Linked DNA regions of Oreochromis niloticus. The protein of the gene in region 1 interacts with the protein of each later gene in a biochemical or structural test. Links are inferred from orthologs where the notes say so. Each region holds a gene or a part of one and is shown in the gene's direction. Other genes may lie near its edges. The genes, in order: itga2b and rnf181.

Evidence for each region.
Region 2: the proteins of itga2b (region 1) and rnf181 form a complex in vitro, tested with the Homo sapiens proteins (2 studies listed by BioGRID). The link is inferred for Oreochromis niloticus from reciprocal best matches to the Homo sapiens genes ITGA2B and RNF181.

What each region holds. Positions count from the first base shown.
Region 1 is NC_031969.2:35,267,735-35,279,569, reverse strand, and holds the start of itga2b (integrin alpha-IIb), read left to right. Parts: upstream 1-7,182; 5' UTR 7,183-7,236; coding exon 7,237-7,376; intron 7,377-9,662; coding exon 9,663-9,793; intron 9,794-10,255; coding exon 10,256-10,356; intron 10,357-10,468; coding exon 10,469-10,634; intron 10,635-10,708; coding exon 10,709-10,758; intron 10,759-10,774; exon of another isoform or gene 10,775-10,865; coding exon 10,866-10,911; exon of another isoform or gene 10,912-10,993; intron 10,994-11,094; exon of another isoform or gene 11,095-11,140; coding exon of another isoform or gene 11,141-11,162; coding exon 11,163-11,282; exon of another isoform or gene 11,283-11,402; intron 11,403-11,413; coding exon 11,414-11,458; intron 11,459-11,527; coding exon 11,528-11,571; intron 11,572-11,835. Other genes in the region: aquaporin-1-like, read left to right, coding at 1,180-1,599, 2,399-2,479, 2,556-2,717. UniProt on the Homo sapiens protein: Integrin alpha-IIb/beta-3 is a receptor for fibronectin, fibrinogen, plasminogen, prothrombin, thrombospondin and vitronectin. It recognizes the sequence R-G-D in a wide array of ligands.
Region 2 is NC_031977.2:8,679,025-8,690,575, forward strand, and holds rnf181 (E3 ubiquitin-protein ligase RNF181), read left to right. Parts: upstream 1-7,236; 5' UTR 7,237-7,359; coding exon 7,360-7,388; intron 7,389-8,087; coding exon 8,088-8,189; intron 8,190-8,272; coding exon 8,273-8,409; intron 8,410-8,544; coding exon 8,545-8,660; intron 8,661-8,761; coding exon 8,762-8,836; intron 8,837-8,933; coding exon 8,934-8,993; 3' UTR 8,994-9,438; downstream 9,439-11,551. Other genes in the region: pxnb (mucin-5AC), read left to right, coding at 46-160, 302-1,573, 2,437-2,832.

The sequences.
Region 1 (11,835 bases):
GTTTTTACTTCAGCATCTTTGATCTTCTGTCCTGTGAGCATCACTGAGATGATCTGTCAGTTTCATGTCCCTGACGCAGAGGAGCAGAAACCTGATATTTCATCTGTTTCTGATTGGTGCATTCTGCGTAAGCTGTGGGCCAGGTGTCTGCTCAGGACAGCTGAGAGCAGGTGACAGGTGTTTAGCGATCTGTTCAGACTGTGATGTTTCCTATGCTCTTATTAGGGTTAGTGTTAGGGTTTCAGCCTCGAACGTTTCACCTGCCGTACTGATGACCAAAAACTTTACCTTAAAGTTTCAGCTGAAGCTTCTTTAGTCCAGTAACAGTGCAAAAGTACAGGCTCTGACTCCGTATGAAGGTAAAAAAGAGCGTTTCTACCTCGAATGTGTGCAAAGGAGACTGTACCTCATGTCGTATTAATATAACAATGAAGTAACAGTAAAGTTTGTCCAACTTCACTTCTAATTCTAATGAATATCAGCTGAACATCTGTGATCCAGGAAAAAGCAAATAAAAGCTGGCTGTGTCAGATGTTCGCCTCTGCCTCCACACCTGAACGGCAGCACGGGTCCAGTCAGGGGTCACGGTGGGATTTAGCAGGGGGAGGAGCTCTGAGATCGGGTGTAGCGGTGTGGCGTGAGGAACAGTAATTTCTACTGTGATCAGCTGACCACTGCTGCTCTTTTTGGCTTTAACTGAATCCAACAAGGTCTAAGCTGATGTTGCTCACGCATTCATGGCTGATTTCACACCTGCACAGTACAAGGCTGCTGGGAAATGTAAATTACCTGACACTGCTCTAATGTAGCACTAGCTAAAGTACCCTGATCACAACCTACAGACGTGTGCAACATGAATGCTGCTTGGGATAGCTCTGCCCACTTTAACCCTGAGTATAAATAATGCATAGATGTTTTTGTCTGTTTCGTCTCTTTGATCGACAGACTAATGCGTTTCTGTTTCCTCAGTTTAGGCTCACATCAGTTTGACATTTGAAGGTGCAGGAAATAAAGACTTACCTGAAATGTGTTATAGTCTGTTTGAGACTGTGAGGAGATATTTGGGTTTACCTGTGGGGAGTAAAACAAAAAGAATCAAAAGTACAGGAATCTAATGACCTCCCCCTCTGACTCACCTATGTCTCACCTGTTGATCTGCTTTAGGTCACTGATTTAACGATGTTCATCCTTCGTTACCTGCATCTTGTCCTCAGTGACATCATCACCCCATCATGCTTACATCGCTTTCTACTGGAGTTCTTAGGGTCCACCCTCTTCCTGTCTGTCAGCCTATCAGCTGTCGTGATGCAGCCTTCCCACTCAAGCCACCTGCCAGCAGGTGTGCACCAGTCTGGACCTGTCTCACCTGTGTGCCCGCTGCATGTGGTGCTGGTCTTTGGTGTCTCTGTTGCTATGGCAGCCATCTGTGTGGGAGGGGGTGCTCACCTGAATCCAGCGATTACCCTAGCAATGGTCCCGACCTCAAGGCTTCGGCTCTGGAGGGCGGTGTTGTATGTGATTGGTCAGCTCTTGGGGGGTGTGGCTTCTGCAGTGCTGTTGCTGGGACTGACTGGAGATGTCACACATGCACTCAACCAGGTAAGCTTCATTTAGTTAAGTTTTATACGTCTAGCACCAAATCATCTGCAAACAGTTGCAGATGAGGTGATCACCGCTGGTGTTGGTGACATTATAAAGTAAAGACTAAAAGAAAAAAAATAAATAAATAAATAAAGTAAAGACTCCACAATAATACAGAAAAAACCTAACAACAATCAGACAGTCCTTTATTTGCAAGCACTTTGGCGACAGTGGGAAGGAAAAACTCCCTTTTAACAGGAAGAAACCTCCGGCAGAGCCAGGCTCAGGGAGCGGCGGGGCCATCTGCTGTGACCGGTTGGGGTGAGAGAAGGAAGACAGGATAAAGACATCCTGTGGAAGAGAGACAGAGATTAATAACAAGCATGATTCAGTGCAGAGAGGTCTATTAACACAGTGGTTCCCAAACTTTTTTTGCCAGGCCCCCCTTTTTTACAAGAAAAATGTTCGCGCCCCCCACCACCTAACCCCCCCACAAACACATCCTCCAAACACACACACCCATATTTTGCTCCATTGCGGTTTATTTCACACCTCAAACATTTAGTAAACAATTAAGCAAATACAAGTAAACGGCAATAAATTACTGGTAGTAATAAAATATACTACTAAATATACTACCCCTGCCGGATGTGGTGCCTCCGCTGTTAGTGGGCCTAGCCATCAGTTTGGGGCACCTGGTGGCTGTAAGCACCTGCATGCTGTTATTTCTAGTATCTGACTGTAATCACACACACACACTTTCATTTAGCTTTTTATCTGCAGGTGTAATGCAGATAAAAATGTCTCTCACTCTCAGGTAAGTGTGACAGGTTGTGGGATGAATCCAGCTCGCTCCTTTGGTCCGGCGGTCATCACACTCAACTTCAACAACCACTGGGTAACAACACACACACACACACACACACACACTAATGCAGACTCATACTCAGATCTGATTGGTTGCTTTTGTGCAGGTTTTCTGGGTGGGGCCTAGTTTGGGGGCGTGTCTTGCTGCTTTCCTGAATGACCTGTTGCTACGGCCTCGCTGGCATCGCCCTGGAGACTGGTGGGTGGAGCTAAAGCAACTGTATGTGTTAACAGAGAAACAACAGCAGGTGGCGTCTCACTTACCGTAACTAATGCACCATTTTGTAGGACCGAGGCCAAACTGCAGCAAACAGGGACGGTATGAGGTCCAGTTTCTGTTTTTGCTCAATATAAGACCTGATTTTATTATCTTATGTGCATCTGTAAACACGTGCGTCACGGCTTTGTCTGAACACTTTAACATTTGCTCTGAAGTCCTCACAACCATGTTAAATGTTTTTCAGAGAAATGTGATGAATAAAATCATCTCACAGCAAAAATAAACTGCAGCACCTTCGTTAATGACATTAAACACCTGAAAAACTGTCCGTGCAGAATCAACTGAACCTCATCCACATAAACTCCTCAGAGTAGAAGGGTTGTTCACGGACACAGACCGTGCCATTTCAGTCAGCTCAGCCTTTAAACTTTGTGTCTTTTAACAACATGTTTGATGCTTTTTCCAGCCTTCATCAGGTACGTTTATTGCCTCACTGAGTAATGTGTCTGTTAAACTGTATTATTTTTCATTTTCTCAGGATGTGACTCAGGTCATGTTATCATGCATTAGTTTCCTGTTTCAGAGCTGAGCTGTGGTCTCACATTGCTTTTTACTGTCAGCGTAAATGAATCCAGTAAAAATGCTGAAACTTGTGAGTAAAATGTTTGCGGGACATGTTTATTAATCCTTTGTTTAAGATTCAAACCTCATTTCCAAGAGAGGCCTGCAATAAAAGAGGAACAGTTATGGCGTGCAGTGGTGGGAGGTTCATGTTGGAGTGAACACAAAGTTTAAGACAGTTTTGTTGTTCAGCTGTTGATGACTTGTGCTGACATCATGACTGTCTGACCAAGTGGAAAAAGTGGTAAAGACATCAGGCTGTTTCAAGTCAAGCAGCTTTACTGTCATTCCCACCGTGTGCAGTGGTACAGCATACGGTGGGAATGACAGCGTTCCTCCAACACCACGGTGCTACAAACAGTCAACACAGGACTGCATAACAACAGGCAGAATGATAGTTCTGACAGACAGTGGTGTGTGTGATGTTCATGTGGGGCAGTTAAAAACTGCACTCAGTACACATCACAAACAGGAAGGTTTTCCTGCTTCAGATCTTCACACATGTAGATGTAAATAAATCATAAATGCACTCTGTTTCTGACAGGGCTGTGGGAAAAATAAAGGCAGCATGATATTTTTCGTGGCCATATTGTATTGATACAGGACAAATATGTATATTTTATTAAATAAATGAAAATAGCTTTGGAAAACTACAAACAAAAGGGCTCGTCTCCTGGACGTTAGCAAACTAACATCCAATAAAACGAAAAAAGCTTCCAATACTGGACACGCTCAGCTCGACACATCGCTCACTTACACCAGCAGAAACAGGACAGCCTTATCAATAACAGACTTCCTGAGATGCCAGCTTGACCCAGTCGATTGCTGACTGATAGCAGACTGACTTTAGCATCATTTATATCAGTGATAGGTGTGTTTAGCACAGGCCTACTGCTGGAACACCAAGACAATTCTACTACAACAGCAAAAGCAAGACGCAAGTCACCAAAGTTCTTTGTGTTGCTCGTGGACGAGGGAGAGAACTGTGACGAGCGCCATTCCTTCAGCTCGAACCCCAGTCACTCTCAGTCAGCTCCCCCGTAGCACTGCTCTTTTATTGAGGTTAAATGAATATGCATAGGTTCATTAACATATGACATCTTACATAGGCATACATGTGAACAAAGAGTACTGTCTGTGTGCGTGCGTGTGTGTGTGTCAAGATGTGACCCTGTGAACGACTCCCCAAAGCTGGTGCCAGGAGTCCAGCGGTCCACCTAAACAAAGGGCTCTTATACTTGAACAGATACAGAGTAGGTGTCCTCCTATACCATAAATCAGTAAGAGAAGGTACGACCTTTCTCATGACCTTAGGATGTGTGTGCATGCCAGAGTGCTCTGGGAGGCACAGAGAGTCTTTGCAGACTGCTAAGGATCAGACATCCTATCAATATGCAATCGATTATAAAACTCTAAGCATATATGAGTATATATTTCTAAGCATAAATGACAATCCAACAATATAAACCTAACAATCAGGCTGCAGTGTTTGCATGCTTGGCAACAAAATAACTGAAGTTAGATAACTTTATCTTCCTGAAACACAAACTGACAAAGTTTCACCTTGATGATGTAATCTGCACTTTAAAGATAATAATTAACAATATATGTTACTCTGCATATTGCAATATGTTATACCAAAGTCATATGGTGGGGTTAGGGTCACCAAAGCTCTTTAACTCTGTGAGGAGTTAGTATTCCTGAACTTACTGTAAGCCTGTGTTTCAGATGAAATGTTTAATCATAAAGACTAAACATAAAACAAAATAATTTTGAATGTGAGTGAGTGAGGATGACTACGGACGTCTGCACGTCAAATAGCACTGTACAGATTTATTTTACCAAGTGGATCATTACAACTTTTGCTGTACTGGTACACTTGATAGAATAGAATCGATCTTTATTGTCACTGTTGCAGAACAGTTAAACACAGTTTGGCATATCTCAATTGGCAGCATGTAGATTTTTGTCACTGAAAAACTGCTTCATCACCTGCTAAAACGAAGAACAGAGCAGGGAAACTACGGCAACAACCAACATCAGCATGAGTAACAGGAAATAATAAATACTGAATGTTACTGAGCAGCACAATACTAATGATGCACAACAAAGCCAGGGGGGCCAGGTCCCGGCAAGCATCCACCAGGAGTGAGCCACTACACACCCAAGCACCCAGCCCCGGGCACCGGTGGGTAGGGGCACCAGCCACTGGCAGGGAGCATGTTGGAGGGGATTTAGGTCCCCGCACCTAGGGGGGACCTGAGATGTAAAGAGGTGGAGTCTAAGACCCGACCTGACACATAAACATACACAAACAGGCACACACAGACACAAGCATGCATTCCCACCCTCATGCACACATATACAAATACTCAGCACTCGCCCAACATGGAGACACACAGAAATGAACACTGTACACACACTCACACTCCCCATACATACTCTATACCCCAGGTCCAGGTACCATCACCCCCAGAGGGGCAATCCGCCCCTAGACACAGGAGACCTTGCCCTTTGCTCTGGGGTGGAGACAAACACAGTGCTCCCGGTCCCACAGCAGCACCAGGGAAGCCCAGCATCCCAGATCCCGACCAGATGCCCAACTCCTCCTCCCAGCCCCCCGCCCCGATGGCGAGCAGAGAACGGGGATGTGAAGACCCCATACCTCTCTCTGCCCACACACATGTGGTGTTACGGCGTGTTGTTCTAAAGTGTATTTAACACATGAGAGGGGTGCAGTGCTTTCTGCCAGGAAGCAGCAGGTGTCAGCACGACCCCTCCTGAGAACCCTCAATGTCTACATGTAATTAAAACTGAGAGGTGGGCACCAGAGGTGATGCTGAATAAACAGACTGTCCTATGGATGCCGTGCAGTATGCCCACTCCCAAGGCCCTATATGTAAGTGTCACAACAGTGTAAGAATCTAAGAACTGAGTTTTTTTTATCAATAATTTCATTTACTTTGACTTTTGTTTTACATATTTTAACTAAAAGAGAGCATTGTAATTAACACTGTTATGCTACAGAGATTAACGCTGATTTATCTATTATGACATCACATCGAATTAATTAATTCATGAATAAGTTAGATGTTAATCGAAGAGGAGGAGAGGAAAACAAAGTGGATTCTTAAAATTAATTAATTAAAGCTTGAAAAAAGTTTGTTTATTCGGAGCTACCATTCATTTTTTTCCGCCACATCTCCGATGTCTGACGTCAACTACACAATTTCCTTTATGTCACTCATGCCTCAGTTCCCTCACCAAACTGTAGGTAGTTGATTAGTGGCTGCTGTTCAGTTTCAACTAATGTTCCAACTTCTCCTGTCTTACTGAGGAACTATGTGCCGTTTGAATGAGTCAAGAAATTCAATAGTGGTGACACAATACGTCAAGATTTTATAAACACTGGAACATGACATGGACTAATTCTGTCTGTAATAAATAAAGTGAAGATTAGTGTTGTTCCCTCAAGACATTTCACACAATTAAACATACAAAGTGTCAGCTTCTTGTCATCACTGAAGATGATTCAGGCCTCACAGAGATAACTTGAAGGAGTTACTGATGACTCTGAGAACGATAATAAACAACAGCCAAGTGCAAAGATGAAGAAGACAGAGTCATTTCCTGGATGTCCCTGAACTCACCACAAACACAGAAACATGAAACTCAGATAAGGAGGCTTTTATTTTTAGGTCCTATCAACAGGAAGCAGCAGCTCAGCAGTTAAACTGACACAACTAGCTGTCAATGATCTGTCAATGTACACACACACGCACACACACACACACACACGCACGCACACACACACACACACACACACACACACACACACACACACACACACACACACACACACACACACACACACAGAGTTTATAAGTTCAAACACAGCGGATACTTCATACTCCACACAGTCGGGCAGGCAGCAGTGAGACAGCAGGATGTGTGTGTTCAGGTGTGTGTGTGTGCTGCTGTGTGTGACTCTGGGTGTGAGTCTGAACCTGCTGGATGAAGTCATGTTCAGAGGACCGACAGGAAGTCTGTTTGGATTCTCCGTTGACTTTCACACCATCAATAACAAGTAAGTTGGTGAAAATACCTGGGGTGTCAGCTCAGACAGGAAGGGGTCCATTCCCCAGACCCTGATCTTATTTCATGGATATAACTTAGAATTCCCTGTCTGTAAAAATTAAATAAAGGGTAAACTAAGTTAAACCCTAAGGCAGACTTTCCTCATTCATTGGATGAACAGCTGAAATACACCTGGCACATCTGTTGTGGTTCAAATTACACCTGGAGTGCTTCAGAAGCAGTGTGTTTGTGCTGCATAGGGTCTTTTATTTTGAAAATTGACAGGATTCTCTTAGCTGTTTGTGTAACTTCCTGATTTCCTCACCTGCTTTATGCAGGTGCTTCACATGGTACAAGCTGTGTCCCAAAACATAGGCTGCATCCTTCGGAGGACCTGGCCTTCGCGGTCTACGTGGGTTGGGTCTTTCGTAGACCGAGAAGGCCAGAAGTGCGAGGCTGTGAAATTGGGCAGTCTAGCCTTCAGATTTGCGTCACCATTGTCTCGGTGGAGTTTAATAAACTCAGCTGTCTGCTCCTTGCTATCTAAATATAACAGGACACTGGCGTAAATTCTCGACCGTCTCACACTTCTGTTTAATCAGTTTTCTGTTTGACGTTTATTCAGCTGTGTGAAAATCCCGGAGGAACCCACCCGAGTGATTAATAAAGTTTTACGTAATCTAATCTAATCCAATAATTTTGATCTCAGCCAAACTAAGCCAAACTCAGGAACAAATAAAACACTGAAAAAAGTCAAACAATAACATTTTTAGGTTATCTAAGTGACTTATATACAGTGTTGGGAAGATTACTTTTAAAATGTATTCCATTACAGAATACTGAATACATGCCCCAAAATGTATTCTGTAACGTATTCTGTTACATTACTCAATGAGAGTAACGTATTCTGAATACTTTGGATTACTTAATATATTATCGTGCTGTTTACAACTACGTGAATGTACTATTGCTGTGATTTATTACTGATACTGAAGGTCCGCGGCTCCGAACCGTAGTAAAGGGACCTCTGGCTAATACGGTGGGTTCCGTGTCGGGCTGGTAGCCGAAAACTAGCTTTACTTTGTTGTCTGGGTCAACTTTGCTTGCCAGAGACAGAGAGAGGCGTTGAAAGGCTGCTCCAACGGAACTTAATTTTTCCGGAGGAAAACACGAACACAGTGTACAGTTGAGTCTTAATAGCTTACTTACAAATGGGCTCGTCAGGCACTCTTCTTGGCTGCAGTGGTTATTATTATATTTACATGCTTCCAGCTCCCGTTTTTGCTCCGTGACAGCTCGGACTTTTCCTTTCTCTCCCTCCCTCGCTCACAGACACATAACGGGTACGGTAGTCCATTCTCGCTGCAGCACGGACTACACTGCCCATCATGCTACATTCTTTAGGGCTATACATGTAGCATTCTGCCTATTAGCTTAGCGCAACAACAACAACAACAAAGCGCTCTCTCACCCAGGAAACACGCAGAGAGAGAGCGCGTCACCCTGTAACCATGGCAACCGTAACGCTGCCGCCTGGAACAACATTACGTAGCTGTCAAACAAACCCAAACAGTCCTGACCCGCGACAATATGAAACAGGGAAGTACCGCCGTGTAATCCATTTATTTCAACAAAGTAACTGTATTCTGAATACCACCTTTTTAAACGGTAACTGTAACGGAATACAGTTACTCATATTTTGTATTCTAAATACGTAACGGCAGTACATGTATTCCGTTACTCCCCAACACTGCTTATATATCATGTTTAACCTGAGTAGCCAAAGACCGCAGGGGGCTGAAAACAATGAAGCCAGGAGTCCGCTGTTTTTGCCGGCTCGAGTGACCATTGAACCCTCCGGTTAGCTATTGAGCTGGTGGGTAACAGATGCCTCCGAAAACGTCGGACCACAATATGTGATGTCTTGATAAACGGAGCAGATATTTGAAGTTTACACAGCTACATTCTCGCCTGAAAATATCTTAAAAGTTTATAAGAGTAATATTAAAACTTAGTAGCTGCTTTGTTGGAAAGTGGAATTGGCTGGGCCGCGCTATGAATTCTGGGATATGTTGGGCCACGAAGGACACACCCGACCCATCCTTCAAATGTGGGGAATAGGAGGACGCATTTGTCGGCTGCATTCGGATGAGTCTACGAATTGGGACAGCCTTCGAAGCGTCGCTGTGACGTAATCGGTCTACAAATGCGGCCTCAGGGGGATGCAGCCTACGCTTTAAATGTTGCTGAGCTCTGATTGCCACGGTAACACTCAAGCAGCAGAATCTTTCTGCAGGTCCTTTGTTGTCATTGGAGCTCCCAAAGCCAACACCAGCCAATCAGGAGTGACTGAGGCAGGGGGTGTGTTCCTCTGCCCCTGGTCATCCAGAGGCAGGGACTGTGACATAATTGACTTTGATCTGACAGGTGAGTCTGGCACACTTTTAAGACCTGCACAGTCAGCAGAAATTTCACAACCTTTAAAAGAACACTTCAATTCGATTCAGTTTTATTTATACAGTGCCAAGCACAACAACAGTCGCCTCAAGGAGCTTTATATTGTAAGGTAGACCCTACAATAAAGAACAATGAGCAAGCACTTTGGTGACAGTGGGAAGGAAAAACTCCTTTTTACCAGGAAGAAACCTCCAGCAGAACCAGGCTCAGGGAGGGGCGGGGCCATCTGCTGCGACTGGTTGGGGTCAGAGAAGGAAAACAGGATAAAGACATGCTGTGGAAGAGAGACAGAGATTAATAACACTAAAAAGAAAAACATAACGTTCAGTCCTGCATTCAGAGCAGCATCACCTGCTTCCACATCCTGACCTCACATGATCTCACGGTCCTGACCTTGTACACACCACGCTGTGTTTATCTTACTTGCTGCAGGTGATGAGGTCCACCGCAGTTCAGGTCTGTTGTTTCTCAGCTTAAAGAGCCAGCAGTGGTTCGGCGCAGCGGTGCGATCAGTCGGCAGCACACATCTGCTAGTAAGTCGCGGTCTGTTGGCGCCATCTGCAGGCTGCACAGCTCATTACAGACAGACTAGCAGCAGGTGAGTTCTTTGTGAAGTTCATTCATCATTCGCTGTGCACCTCTCAGGCATGTGCGCCGCTCTTCCACTGGAATGTTCAGAGGGGAGGGGTGGAGTCAGGGATAACACCTGTGGGGAACTGCCTCATATTGGAACACAAGACAGGAAACTCCACCCCCTTCTCCCCCTGCAGAGGGCTCATGATGGAGGAAGACTACAAACGCATGCACAACAGTAAGAAGACACACAGAGACAAAGGGCCTGACTACTTCCTGTTTCCTGTCTTACATCTGTTTCTTGTTGCCTAGGAAATGACCAGCGATATTGTGAGGTTGGCTTCACCGCTGATGTCACCAAGGTGAGATGGTGGTGGGTGGAGTCATTCCTGTGGGAATCACAGAGTACCATGATGATAATGATGATCCACACGGTGGCGCTAATGCTTCATGTCCCTGCATGTTTTAGGACGGTCGGCTAGTGCTCGGAGCTCCCGGAAGCTTCTTCTTTCAGGGTGAGGGCCCCCTGTTGGCCACTTACTGTAATTACACATTACACTTCGAATAGACCTGAACGCAGAACCAGGACATTCTGTTCTACAAGAAAGAAAACATAGTGAAAATGTCACTGACATTCATAGAATGCTAAGAATAAACTTCAGCCTCAGTCTGTTTTTTGCTTTAAAGAACTTGCTTACCACCACCTGCAGGTAAGTGCTGACATCACTGCTGACATCAGCGCTGATGAACACTGTGCTGATTGCAGGTCAGGTGATCACTGTTGGTGTTGATGACATCATCAACAGTGGGAAGAGTGATGATCCTATAAAATATGTGGCGGGCATAAGCCAATCAGATGAGAGGGGAGGCTATGATGTTTACCACGGTGAGTAGCTGAAGAAGGCTTTTATTCTGACAGGAAACTCAAATTTAAAGAATAAAGGCTCAGCTCTGGCTGTTATCAGGTGTTACTACACTTCCCAGAATTCACTGGAAATCTGTTCAAATTTGTTTCAGGTTACTCAGTGGCCAGTGGCCTGCTGACTGGAGACTCCACACCAGGTTATATTACAATATAATACAGTATAATGTGACATAATGTAAGTGGTCATCTCACTGTTTATGTTTCAGATTATCTGGTCGGTGTTCCAAATGACAGAAACACAGCAGGAACAGTAAGATTCTTTCTTTTTTTTAACTCTCTACTGTTTTCTACTTTATTCTCCAGCTTTTTATGGATTTCATCAGTTTAGACTGGTGATACATTGTAAACAGAGCAAGTACTTAAAGAGCACCTTTCTACTTAATTTTGAGCACTGAAAGCTCTTTCAGTCCCATTCACCCAAAGTCTCTCTCTCTCTCTCTCTCTCTCTCTCACACACACACACACACACACACACACACACACACATATGTACAGTGCTTTTATCTATATGTAA
Region 2 (11,551 bases), on another chromosome or scaffold:
AGTGTTTGCATGTATTTAATAATCACAATGACTTGTGTTTTCCAGCCCCTCCACACGCCACAGTGACTTGGACACATCCTCTCAACAGCAGGCCAGAATTTCAGCTTCCTGTGCCACCAGAGAGCTCGATGAGTTGATGGCCTCTTTGTCTGACTTTAAGGTACAGAGCCCCATGAGGGAGCATTGGAAAGGCTTTATTTAAACAACAAATCCCGAGCTTCTCCTGTCATTTTCTTCATGATTGCTTTCTTCTTCTTCTTCTTCTTCTTCTTCTCTTACTTGTGCTTCTCTGTTCCTCTAGCCTAGCTCTTTAGGCTCTCTGCTAGAACCAGCAGGAGCATCTTCCAGCTCTCGCCACACTCCAGTGTCCTCTTCCATTTCCCCCATGGCTTCTCCTTCCTTGAGTCTGTCCCATCCATCTGCCTGTGCCTCTCCTCTCTTCTCTTTACCTGCTGGGCTAGAGCTACATATAGATGAGGATGGAGGAGATGGTGGCATGTTGAGACCCCACCCAAGCCGTCTCTCTCCACACAGTCCTACATCCTCATATTCTGCAACCAGTGAACTAGACCTGGACTCTGTCATAGATGTCTCTGCCACCATGCTATCATCTCAAACCAAGTCTCTGCTAGTCCTCTCTCAGTCTGCTTCCTCTAACTCCAACCTGCTAAGAAATAGCCCAAGTCCTTCCAATACCACTACCCCCTCCCTTACCTCAGTTATCACTGTCCTGGACCACAAGTCCTCCAAGTCCCCAAGTCCATCTGTAGAACGGGTCTCACCCTCAGCTTCTGGAGGTAAATCCTCTTGTGCTCCTGAGAGTGTAAGCAAGGGTTCTCCTTGTTTTTATGATCTCGATGTCAGTTTCTCCTCTTCGTCTTTACTTACTACCCAGAACCTCACCCCTCAGGTCTCAGCCCCCTCACCCCTCCCCGTTTTTGTCTCTCTGTCCCCACCTTCAAAAACATCTTCACCATCTCCAGTCTCGCCACTAATAGTCTCTTCTCCAATGGCCTTTAATAACCACAACAGACAATTGCTGGAGACAGCACCCGCAACCCATACAACCACCACCTTCACTGTACAGCAACCGCCTGTGGTAGAGCCATCCCTGGATGAGGCACTAGACAAGCTTCTAGCAATGAGTTTTTCACAAAATCACACAATGGCGAATGTGGATGGACCTCAGCTGAAGAATGATGCAGAGTGTCTAGGCAGAGGAATGCAGGAGGTGCACGAGGAGCTTATCCTGCCCTTGGACAGAAGCAGTGTCCAGCCAGACACTTTCACCAACACTTTTACAGACGATTCAGTGGACGGAGGAACAGACGGGAACGGAGACCTGGACTGGGCAGACGAAGAGCTGTCCATGTCCTTACATGACGGTCTGGATGGCACCATGACCCCTTACACTGAGAGGCTCTATACAGATGGCAGCATGACCCCACTGACAGAGGCCAGTTGGATGGATGAGTCCATGACCCCATCGTCATGCCCCGGGACCCCTGACGTCACCCTGGACCTGCCCCTGCTTCAGACACCCACTATAGACAGAGTCTCAGCATCTGGACATGTACGCTTCGCCGGGCCTGCCTGATTTTAAAATAGGCTTGTTTTGCTAGCTAATGAGACTGATGCTCCTATGAATCCCAGCCTCTGCTGCAAGGGTTTATCTTGCATGTTTCTTGAAAAACTAAAACATGGCATCTAATATTTTATCTGCTATTTTGACCACTACTATGATCCTTACATCAGATACAATTATGATTGATTTATTAGCTTTCAGTATCATCAGGGCTGTGATTGGCCAAAGTCTTGAGCTCGATTCTTTTCATCCCTGTAAACAGACCTTGGAGGAGATGCGTGATTTGAGATCCTGTCAGACAATTTCATTAATAATATGGTGCCCAGTTACTCCAAAAATATATTGCATACCCCCAATTTAGCCAGGCAAATAAACCAGGCGGAAAAACGCAATATGTTTAAGCTTTGATCGATATATAGAAACTACATGTATTTGTTTAGAAGAAAATGCCTTGTAAGTAAGAGGCTGAAGGAGCTGAAGCAAGCTAATTAATAGGTTTTGCTTGGAAACTACACTTACAACTAACCTGCTGTTTGGTAGCACCAGCACTCTGCATGGCACCACTGCATTTGTGTGAAGGACCAAACTGAGAGCTGATGTTTATGTGGCTGCTTGAGAAACTGAAGGATGAGAGTTAGATCATCGATAGCAGTGGCTTCTGATGAAAGCATGCGTAAAGTTCCTAATATGGGACTCTGAGCTCAGTGACCACTGCTTTGCCGGCATGTCAGTGACTTGAAAACGGCTGGTGTGACTGACCTGCTGCCTCAGTGCTCTGCTGTAAGTGCTTGAGCTTGTAAATTGGAGTGGACATATGATAAGGTGTTCACTCCCTCCCTCCCTGCTCTTAGATAAAATCAGTTATTAGGCGCACTAAGGAGACTCCCAATGTGCACCCCATGTACCGAGAGGCTCACCTGCGCAGGAAGATGGGACCCATCATTGTAAACAAGAACTCTTCCCAGGACCGTCTCATAGAGGAGCTTCAGGGTAAGCTTGGGATCGGCCGCTCAGAACGGCGGCGCAAACAGTCCGATGATTGGCTGACGGAGGGTGTCATCATCACGTCCAAACCTCAGCGATATCGTCCCGATGGGGCGGCCAGTGAGGTCGACAAGGTTGGCTTCAGTGTGCTTGCCAGTTTCCACAAATTCTCCTTTTGCAGTTGTTTCACTTTTGTTTTCCTTTTCTGCACATTTCCTGTCTCCTTCCTTCCTTCTGTTTTTCCTCTTTTCTTCAGATCATAATTCCCCCCGAGTCGCCTGTCCCTGTGAGGAAGGTGCTCCCACCTCCCTCTCCCCCTACCCCTCGTCGCCCCCTGTCATAGAAGAACCTAAGCGACCCCTCCCAGTACAGCACCCCCCTGTCCCAATACCACCCCCACCTCCTCCACCTCCTTCACCACCTCCACAACGTACCCACCACATTCACGAACCAGTTCCCGCTCCACCTCGGCAGTTCATAAAACCCTCACCTCCACCGGCTCCAGTCCAGAACCCTTCTACACCTAAACCAGAGCCGCCTCTTCCTGTCCTAAAAACCCCAACCCAGCCACCAACAGTGGACTCGGTTCCCCCAGTTGCACCCAAAGTCCTGGTCTCTGTAGGCTGCCAAACTGAGTATGACCCCATCTTCCCTCCAATGCAGGCATGAACCCCTCCCTCTTTTATTCCTTCTGTTTTTCACGCTTATTTTAAAGTTTAGTATCCCAAAACTTAAATAGTTTTGTTACATTTCAACAGTAAATAACTATTTTCATACTGAACCATTTCAGATTATGGCCCAAGGGAAGGGTGGTGTCTCCGGTGGGCCCCCGACACAGGTCAACAAGCTGGACAACATGCTTGGCAGCCTGCAGTCTGACCTCAACAAACTGGGCGTGCAGACAGTAGCTAAAGGAGTTTGCGGAGCCTGCTGTAAGCCGATTGTGGGACAGGTGAGATGGTTCGGTTAAGGTAATCTTTTGTCTGTAACATAAATTGATGTTTGCTAACCATGCTTCGGTTATCTGTTTTTTTTTGTCGTTTATTTTTTAGGTGGTGACCGCCATGGGCCGCACATGGCACCCCGAACACTTTGTGTGCACACACTGTCAAGAGGAAATCGGCTCCAGGAACTTTTTTGAACGTGAAGGACAGCCCTACTGTGAGAAAGATTACCACAATCTGTTCTCTCCGCGGTGCTACTACTGCAACGGGCCCATCCTGGATGTGAGTCACTGCTCTCCACACATGTGGTCTCTGCTGTAGACGTGTCAGCCAATAATAAATGTCTTCAATGTCCATTCAGAAAGTTGTGACGGCGCTGGATAGGACATGGCATCCCGAACACTTCTTCTGCGCTCAGTGTGGCTCTTTCTTTGGCCCTGAGGGTAAAGTGATACAAGTATATTTTTTTTAATCATACTGCTTAGCAGTTTCTCTCTACTTCAGAGTGGATATAATCTCTTGTCTCTTTCTACTTTCAGGTTTTCATGAAAAGGATGGAAAGGCCTACTGCAGGAAAGATTACTTTGACATGTTTGCACCGAAATGCGGCGGCTGTGCCAGAGCCATTCTGGAAAATTACATCTCAGCTCTGAACTGTCTTTGGCATCCCGAGTGTTTTGTTTGCAGGGTTAGTGTTATGCTTAAGTCAGGAACTTTTCCTTAATAGTTTGCACGCCTTGTAAGAAAAAGAGTACTAAAATAATAATGTGTGTGTGTGTCTCTGCAGGAGTGCTTCACCCCGTTTGTGAATGGAAGCTTTTTTGAGCATGACGGCCAACCCTACTGTGAAGTGCACTACCACGAGCGTCGCGGCTCCCTCTGCTCCGGCTGCCAGAAGCCCATCACGGGGCGCTGCATCACAGCCATGTCCAAGAAGTTTCACCCAGAGCATTTTGTCTGTGCCTTCTGCCTGAAACAGCTCAACAAAGGCACCTTTAAAGAGCAAAACGATAAACCCTACTGCCACGGCTGCTTCATCAAGCTGTTCAGTTAGAGAGTTAGGGGGAATGTTTAACACTGGCACACTTGGGTCAGGGCTAAAATGAGAGTCTGAAGCATTTCTAGCACAGGGAGAGTGAGAACGGGTTTAGTTTGTATCACAGGAAGCTGTCTCTGGATGATGGCGTTGGAAGTGTGTATGGGCTAAGTATGTGCATGTGGTTGAAGCGGTGTGCTGCTTCTGCCAGACTAAATGTTTTTCATGTCATTCAGATTTTTTTTTTTTTTTGATTGACAGCAGTTTATTTGTGAAGCTTTTTATGTGTTGTGAGCGGGTGACTATATCGGATGAGGGTGTATTTGGTCTTTAAAGGAAAATCCCCCCCCCCTCCAAATCAGCAACTTTTCTCCCAGTCTACTTAGATGTGCTGAAACAAACAGCTGTCTCTGTTTTGTTTTGTTTGTTTGTTTTGAGTGTGTGTGTGTGTGTGTGTGTGTGTGTGTGTGTGTGTGTGTATGTATGTGTGTAATCCTCAAATCATTTTATTTTTTATCTTTTTAGAAGGTGATAAATTGTTACTAAGCACACTGAAACTCTGATCTATGAAACGCTCGGTGTGTGGTGAAGTTACTCACTGGTTGAGTGCGTCATTTTAGAAATCAAATAAAATGAACATATGGCAGGGAACAGGTGACCTGTTGTTTTTACACAATATAAACACTTTTTTTTTTTTTTTAAACAAATGATCAGGATAAAAGGCTTTTTACTTTCTCCCTTCCCTAGTCTAAAGTCAGATAAGGCACATCTTTATATAACTGATAAAGTTGTGTTTTATGGTGAAATGCATCTTTAGTGTCCCTTGACCAAAAACCCCTTTCTAGTATGTCATATTTTAATTAAAGATGCATACTGTGTTACAAAGCAGTCAAGGGCAAACTGAGCATGGATTAATATTTGACTCAACAGTCACTGCGGTGTTCACTCTTCATTACACGTGCTGCCAAATCATTCCTTTTGATTCCTCTGAATTAAAGCGAGTCTAAAAGCAGTTTGTTGGATTTGCGTCACCTAAAGTGAAACTGCACAGAGATATTGGGAGTACGGTGTTTTTGCGCTACACTACCATTACTGTTTCTGAGTACATCCTGAGAAGTTTTTGTTGTTGTTTGTTGTACATATCCAATGCAGCTACATTGTAAGCATGTACATGTGTTTAATAACCACTCGTTAAAAGAAGGAAAGGGCTGCTGGGAAGGCATAGCGGAGATATTTGGATGTCTTTGCTGATATTACTGTATCGAGAAGCTGATGAATGTTTGTTTTTGAGAGAATGCAAACCGTACACACAATTTGCCTGTGATATTCCGATAACTATGCAACTGTGGATTAACAGCTTTGTATTTCAGCATCAGCATCTATTTCTTAGGCTGTCTGTGCCATTGTATCATGTCTAATAACACTGGCAAATTCAGCAAAAAATACTGAGAGCAGGTCAAGAGTCCGCTGTTCTGTTTTCATGTTATTAGTCTGTGAGTTTGTAAAAATGAGAGCCTGGTGGTCTGCTAGAATAACTGGTAGGACTAGGATGACTCGTCTCCCTCAGCGTCTGAGGAGCATCTACTGTATGACCACCAGGTTGGGGTTCTGTACAACGTTATTCATACACAGCAGACAGATTTGGCCTTTTGTCTTGTTCAGGGAATTCTAGAGCCTTAATTCTTTCTTCTTTTTTTTTCTCACTGTATTTAAGATATCCTGTAACAGTCATCTTTTCAAAATGACTTTCGTAGAGGTTATTTAACCAAAGCCATACCTTCTTTCAGTTTTTCTTGTCTGTTCACTTTGTTTTTTCTTTTCACTTTGAATGTCAATAGATACAAATAGTGAGATTACTCTGTTCTAGCCTGATTATGCCAATAAATTCAGTTTTGGTATCAAAATGTCATCCAAGGGTCTAATTTATGCTAAGCTTTTACTTTGTGTGTAGCTGTTACCCTTAAGCTTTGCAATTTCTTAGCTTCTAGAGAAGCTTTGCATGATTCACAGGTAAAAATGACCCTTATTTATCTTGGTACAGTCTTACACAAGCTGTTTTAGCTTTCTAGTCCTTCCCTTTAAGATAGCCATCTTCTGATTGACTGAATAGTGCAGACAAAAGGTTTAAAGAGAAGATGAGTGTAGCTTTATTAAGGATACCTGCTCTCACTGAAATCATCAAAAACACTCACAGAGATTGCTTGTACACGCGACGACTTCATTATGTAAAGTTTAATTCATCACAGTTAAATAGATAATAATCATCATAGGTCCACTTTAATCAGACATTAGTCCAGCTGTATAGCACCTCTTTCAGGACGAGGTAAGAGCCCTCTTCTTCTGCTTATCCACTTCAGGGTCACAGCTGGGTGATAGGCAGAGTACACCCTGGAGAGGTCACAGAGCTAATGCATAGATTATTCATGCTCACACCTTTACACCTTTAGTTAATTTAAAATCCCCAATGGGGATCAAGATACGCATAGGATTCAAACCCACAACCTTCACAGCACCCTGCTGTCCCTACTCACTATGATAAGTTAGCCCTTTTTATTTAAGCAATTCTACAAAATCTAGGCAGAAGGTCCGTATTATTCATCACCTATAGATTAGAAAAATAATAAATAAATGATTCGTTTCCGTACAGAAACCCTTTGAAAGTTCAGTGTTTGGGAACGTCTTTCACCGATTGTGGGCGCTAGTGAGACATTTTGCACGCTTACGTAGACAAACAAAACAGAAGACGAGGAAAACCAAACCTCTACTGTGATTGGACGAGGAGTCACGTGGCTATCTTCCTACCCGGAAAGATGACAAATGTTTCTTTGCAAGATTTCAGGTGAGTCGACCAAATTTATCAGGTCGGGAATAGTTTTAAGACAATAAATTCTTTTTGTATTTTATGATTGGACAAAGCTCGTGTAAGGGTTGGTGTTTCCGGTAGTTCAGTGTGGAGGCTATTTGTAATGTGGAAGAGCCTTTGAGCCATTGTTGGTCGTTAACGTCGAAGCGGCTGGCTCACTGTTTACACAGTTCGGCTGGAAAACGCTTTTTGCGATGTTCTCAGTTTTATATTTTGAAGTTTTATTTGTATCCTTAATACGTGAACAGAATTTGCTAAGTTGAGCAGTTTTCTCTTTTGTTTTCACGTAATAAAGCAAGTAGCCCAGGTCGATGGTATCTCTGCGCTGACTCGTGTTTTTGTTGTTATCTGCCCCCCTCCCCCTCTATTGTGATCGAGTCCCCAAGGAAAGCCTTTATTGTAAAACATGACCGGACTGTGTTTCAGATCCCCATCACACTCTCTTTGAATGTTTATCCTGAACAAAACTGAAGTTACAAAACAACATCAGTCCCTGCCATCAAGGCACATATATATCTGCTTTCCAGTATGATTGGCATAGCTGTGTTTCTCGTACTTTCCTGCACGGTGCTCACTCATCAATCGCATTCCTCAGCTTTTCATTTTCACTGTCTGTTGTAGAGCCAAGCTTTAATGAAAGCATGTCTCATGCCTGATTTCTGTTGTTGTGAACAGGACATACTGGGCGGAAATGGCATCCTACTTTGATGAACACAACTGCGAGCCCACCGACCCCGAGGAGCAGTACCGCCAGAATGCTCTCCTTGAGATGGCCAGGTGAGGGCGAGCAAACAAAGAGGCTTTATTCTCATGTCTGCAGCGCTCTGACTGACTGTTGGTGTCTGCGTTGGTGTTTACAGGTATTTGATACAGGGCTTGGACTGGATCGACGCACGCTATGCTGGCATGTCAAGCTGGGACCAGAGGCTTCCTCCTCCAGCTGCCAAAACTGCTGTTCAGACCCTCACTGTGATCGTTATAACTGCTGAACAAGCAGGTAGACAGAAGCACGAGAATTAACTGCGCTGACATTTAGATTGATGATCAGCCCATTAAGAAAGGGCAGAAAATCTACGTAAGCGTGCATAGTACCTGAGATTTTGATGTGGCTTTTTGTTTTTCATTCTCACAGGCAGAGGTCTCAAGTGTCCTGTGTGTCTGCTGGAGTTCGAGGAGCAGCAAACGGCTCGAGAAATGCCTTGCAAACACCTTTTCCACTCAGGATGTATACTCCCATGGTTGGACAAGGTAACGCTCCCGTGTTTGTGCTTCTCTTTGAAATAGAAAACACACGATCGTGACCTCTTACAAATCCTTTTTTCTTTTTCTTTGTCGTCTTTAAACTTTAGACCAACTCCTGTCCGCTCTGCCGACTTGAATTACCCACCGATAATGCAGACTATGAGCAGTTTAAAAAAGACAAGGTGGGTGTGTTTGAGTGTGTCCTGTCCTCACGTTTAACGGTACATTTATCGTGGCATTAGCTGAATATTGTTATTTATTTATTTTTCTGATCTGCAGGAGAGAAGGAAACAGAGCGAGCATCGGCTGGAGGGCCTGCATGGAGCCATGTACACATGACGCTGCAGTGCTGTTGGGCAAGGTTGTGGCACATTGACATTTTAGTTTAATGAAAGCTTGAGAAGTGCATAAAGCTGCATTCGCACACCATTTCACACAGTGTAGTTTCACGCTCAGGGATGGGGAAACAGTGTGAAATATTTGGCAAAATATCAGCAATAAAATTGTAATACTGAAAAAATGGACCACAGTAAAATAAAAACAACACATCAGTTTATCTGGAATGACTTTATGTTGGGCAATCGGGATGACTGTCGAGGATTAGTGTGAACAGGCTCCTGGTCTCCCGACTCTGTTGACGTGGTGTGAATGCAGTGTAAGCAACAAGGTCATTAAACATTTAAAATGCTCGTTTTCTCACTAGCTAGGACCATTATACTTCCACATCCTGTTGCCAGCAGAGCGCTCTCAGACACAGCAGCTGCTTTTTCTTTTCCTCTAAAAACAAACCAACAAAAAAACCCAACTTTGTAGGCTATAAATGGACAAAATCTGTTCGTCTGTATTTGTTCAACAACTATGAAGTAATTATGATTTGTAATTTATGATTTTAACCTCTGTCTGCTGCTGTTCTTACTTCTTCATAAAATAAAATAAAAATAAATTAAAAAATGATTTTATTTTGGTTGTTTTTTTTAATCAAAAGCTTAATTTTAAAAGAATCGCCAACAAGCTTAGCGGAAGTCAAATTCTGGGTTGCCCGTTGTTCACGGATAAATGCCCGCATCTTTCAAACTCCATGTTCCCAGTAGAGAACGGGCTTTTTTTTGTACATTTGCAGTCTCAGCAGATTTTTCTGTCTGTTCCTCGTGCTGAGTAATTTGATCTGTAACTGGGAAGATTTGTGGAGTTCCCCTTCAGCTGGTCCCATGATGTTGTTTTTAATTTTAGAGAAAACACTAGCTGTCCTGTAGCCTATCTGGAGTGAATATTAAGAACACAATCTGCACAGAATTGGTTTTGATGCTCCTGAATCATATGACAATCTTCAAACTGCGTCCACGTCACAGTGGTAATGTGGGAAACATTACCAGAAGACAGTTGCCCTGATGAAAGGGATGATGAAATTAAAATAGAAGCTGATTTGTAGAGTTGAACTAATTTTGCCGTTTATATAACGTTGTAGTTTACACATTCACTGAGTGTTTTTGAGAGCCCAAGAGCCCCGGTCTGATCCCAGGAGGAGATCTGAATTCCTTCGGGGTTGCGTCAGGAGGGGCATCCCACACAGAAGAAAATAATCTTCTAAATCGAAGACACAGCAGCTGAAAGTAACATTGAGGAAACAAAGGGAATTCTGTGCGTTTAAAATAGTCCATGAAAGCCACATGCTAATAATTTATCATTTTTATTTCATATTTGAATATAAATCTCTGTCAAATGAAAATACCTAAATGATAGACAAAAATCATACATATTTACAGAATTTATAAAAAACAAACAATTTGTGTTGACTTGATTTCAGGGATTTGTCAGACTCGTGATTACCATTCCTTTACATACTCTTCAAATTCAAAAGAAAAATAGGACCAGTAAAGTTTTTCTGTGTTGTTAAAGTTCAAGACGTACAGTTCAGGCGGCTTTTTGTAATACAGTGTTCTTACACAAACAACCTAATGATCTGACTGCATATTGAAGTGCACATTTGGATAGAAAGAAAAAAAATAAAATAATGAAATCCACTTTAATTTAATATTTGGCGTGTGGAAGATGGCATTATGGTATAGATGCTGTAACAGAATAATCCCAGCCCCAATGTGAGGACTCAAACAAGCTGCCATTGGGAGTCAAACTGCATGACTCAGTTACAGTATAGCAAAACAGGTTACAGGTGAACACATGAGAAGAAGGGGAAAAAAAAAAAAAAAAAAAAAGTACAATAAAAGATGTAATGGTAAAACAGAAAAGACACAAAAAAATTTTTTTAACTCAACCTGGAGTAGATTTGTCTTTTTGGCAAGTTTTGCAGGACAAACAGGATTGACAAAACAGACACATGATTGTGCATCCTGTGTAACAGTGCATCCACTGTGCTGTTACACAGGATGCTGACACTTCTTAGGACAGACACTTGCAGACAGAGCCGCAGACTGCCGACTCGCCATAACATTAAATACCTCAAACGCTGCGAGATGGAAAAGGTTTCACAACTGTATTCTGCACTACAAGCTTTCACCTTCTGGTAACATCCAACTGACAAACGATAGAGGTAGGTGACCTTTTAAAAAAAGAAGGAAAAAAAAAAAGTATTGCTGGCATCCAGTGTTTCAGACAGTTTAAAATGACTCAACACTATGCAGAGGGCAGAATACTGTGCATCTGTGAAACACACCTCATTCACTCCAACATAAAGAAATGTAACAGGCAGCATTAGCCAGCTGCTGTTTGACCAGTGGTGATGTGTGGCAGTCTGGTGTTGAGCTACAACAAAGATAACAACTTAAGAGAAATTGGCAACAACACAATTAAAAAAAAACAAAAACGCATTACATAAAGCACTTTGACATCAGTCTACAGCCTGTATCATATGTACCTCTCCTGTGAATAAATCACACTAC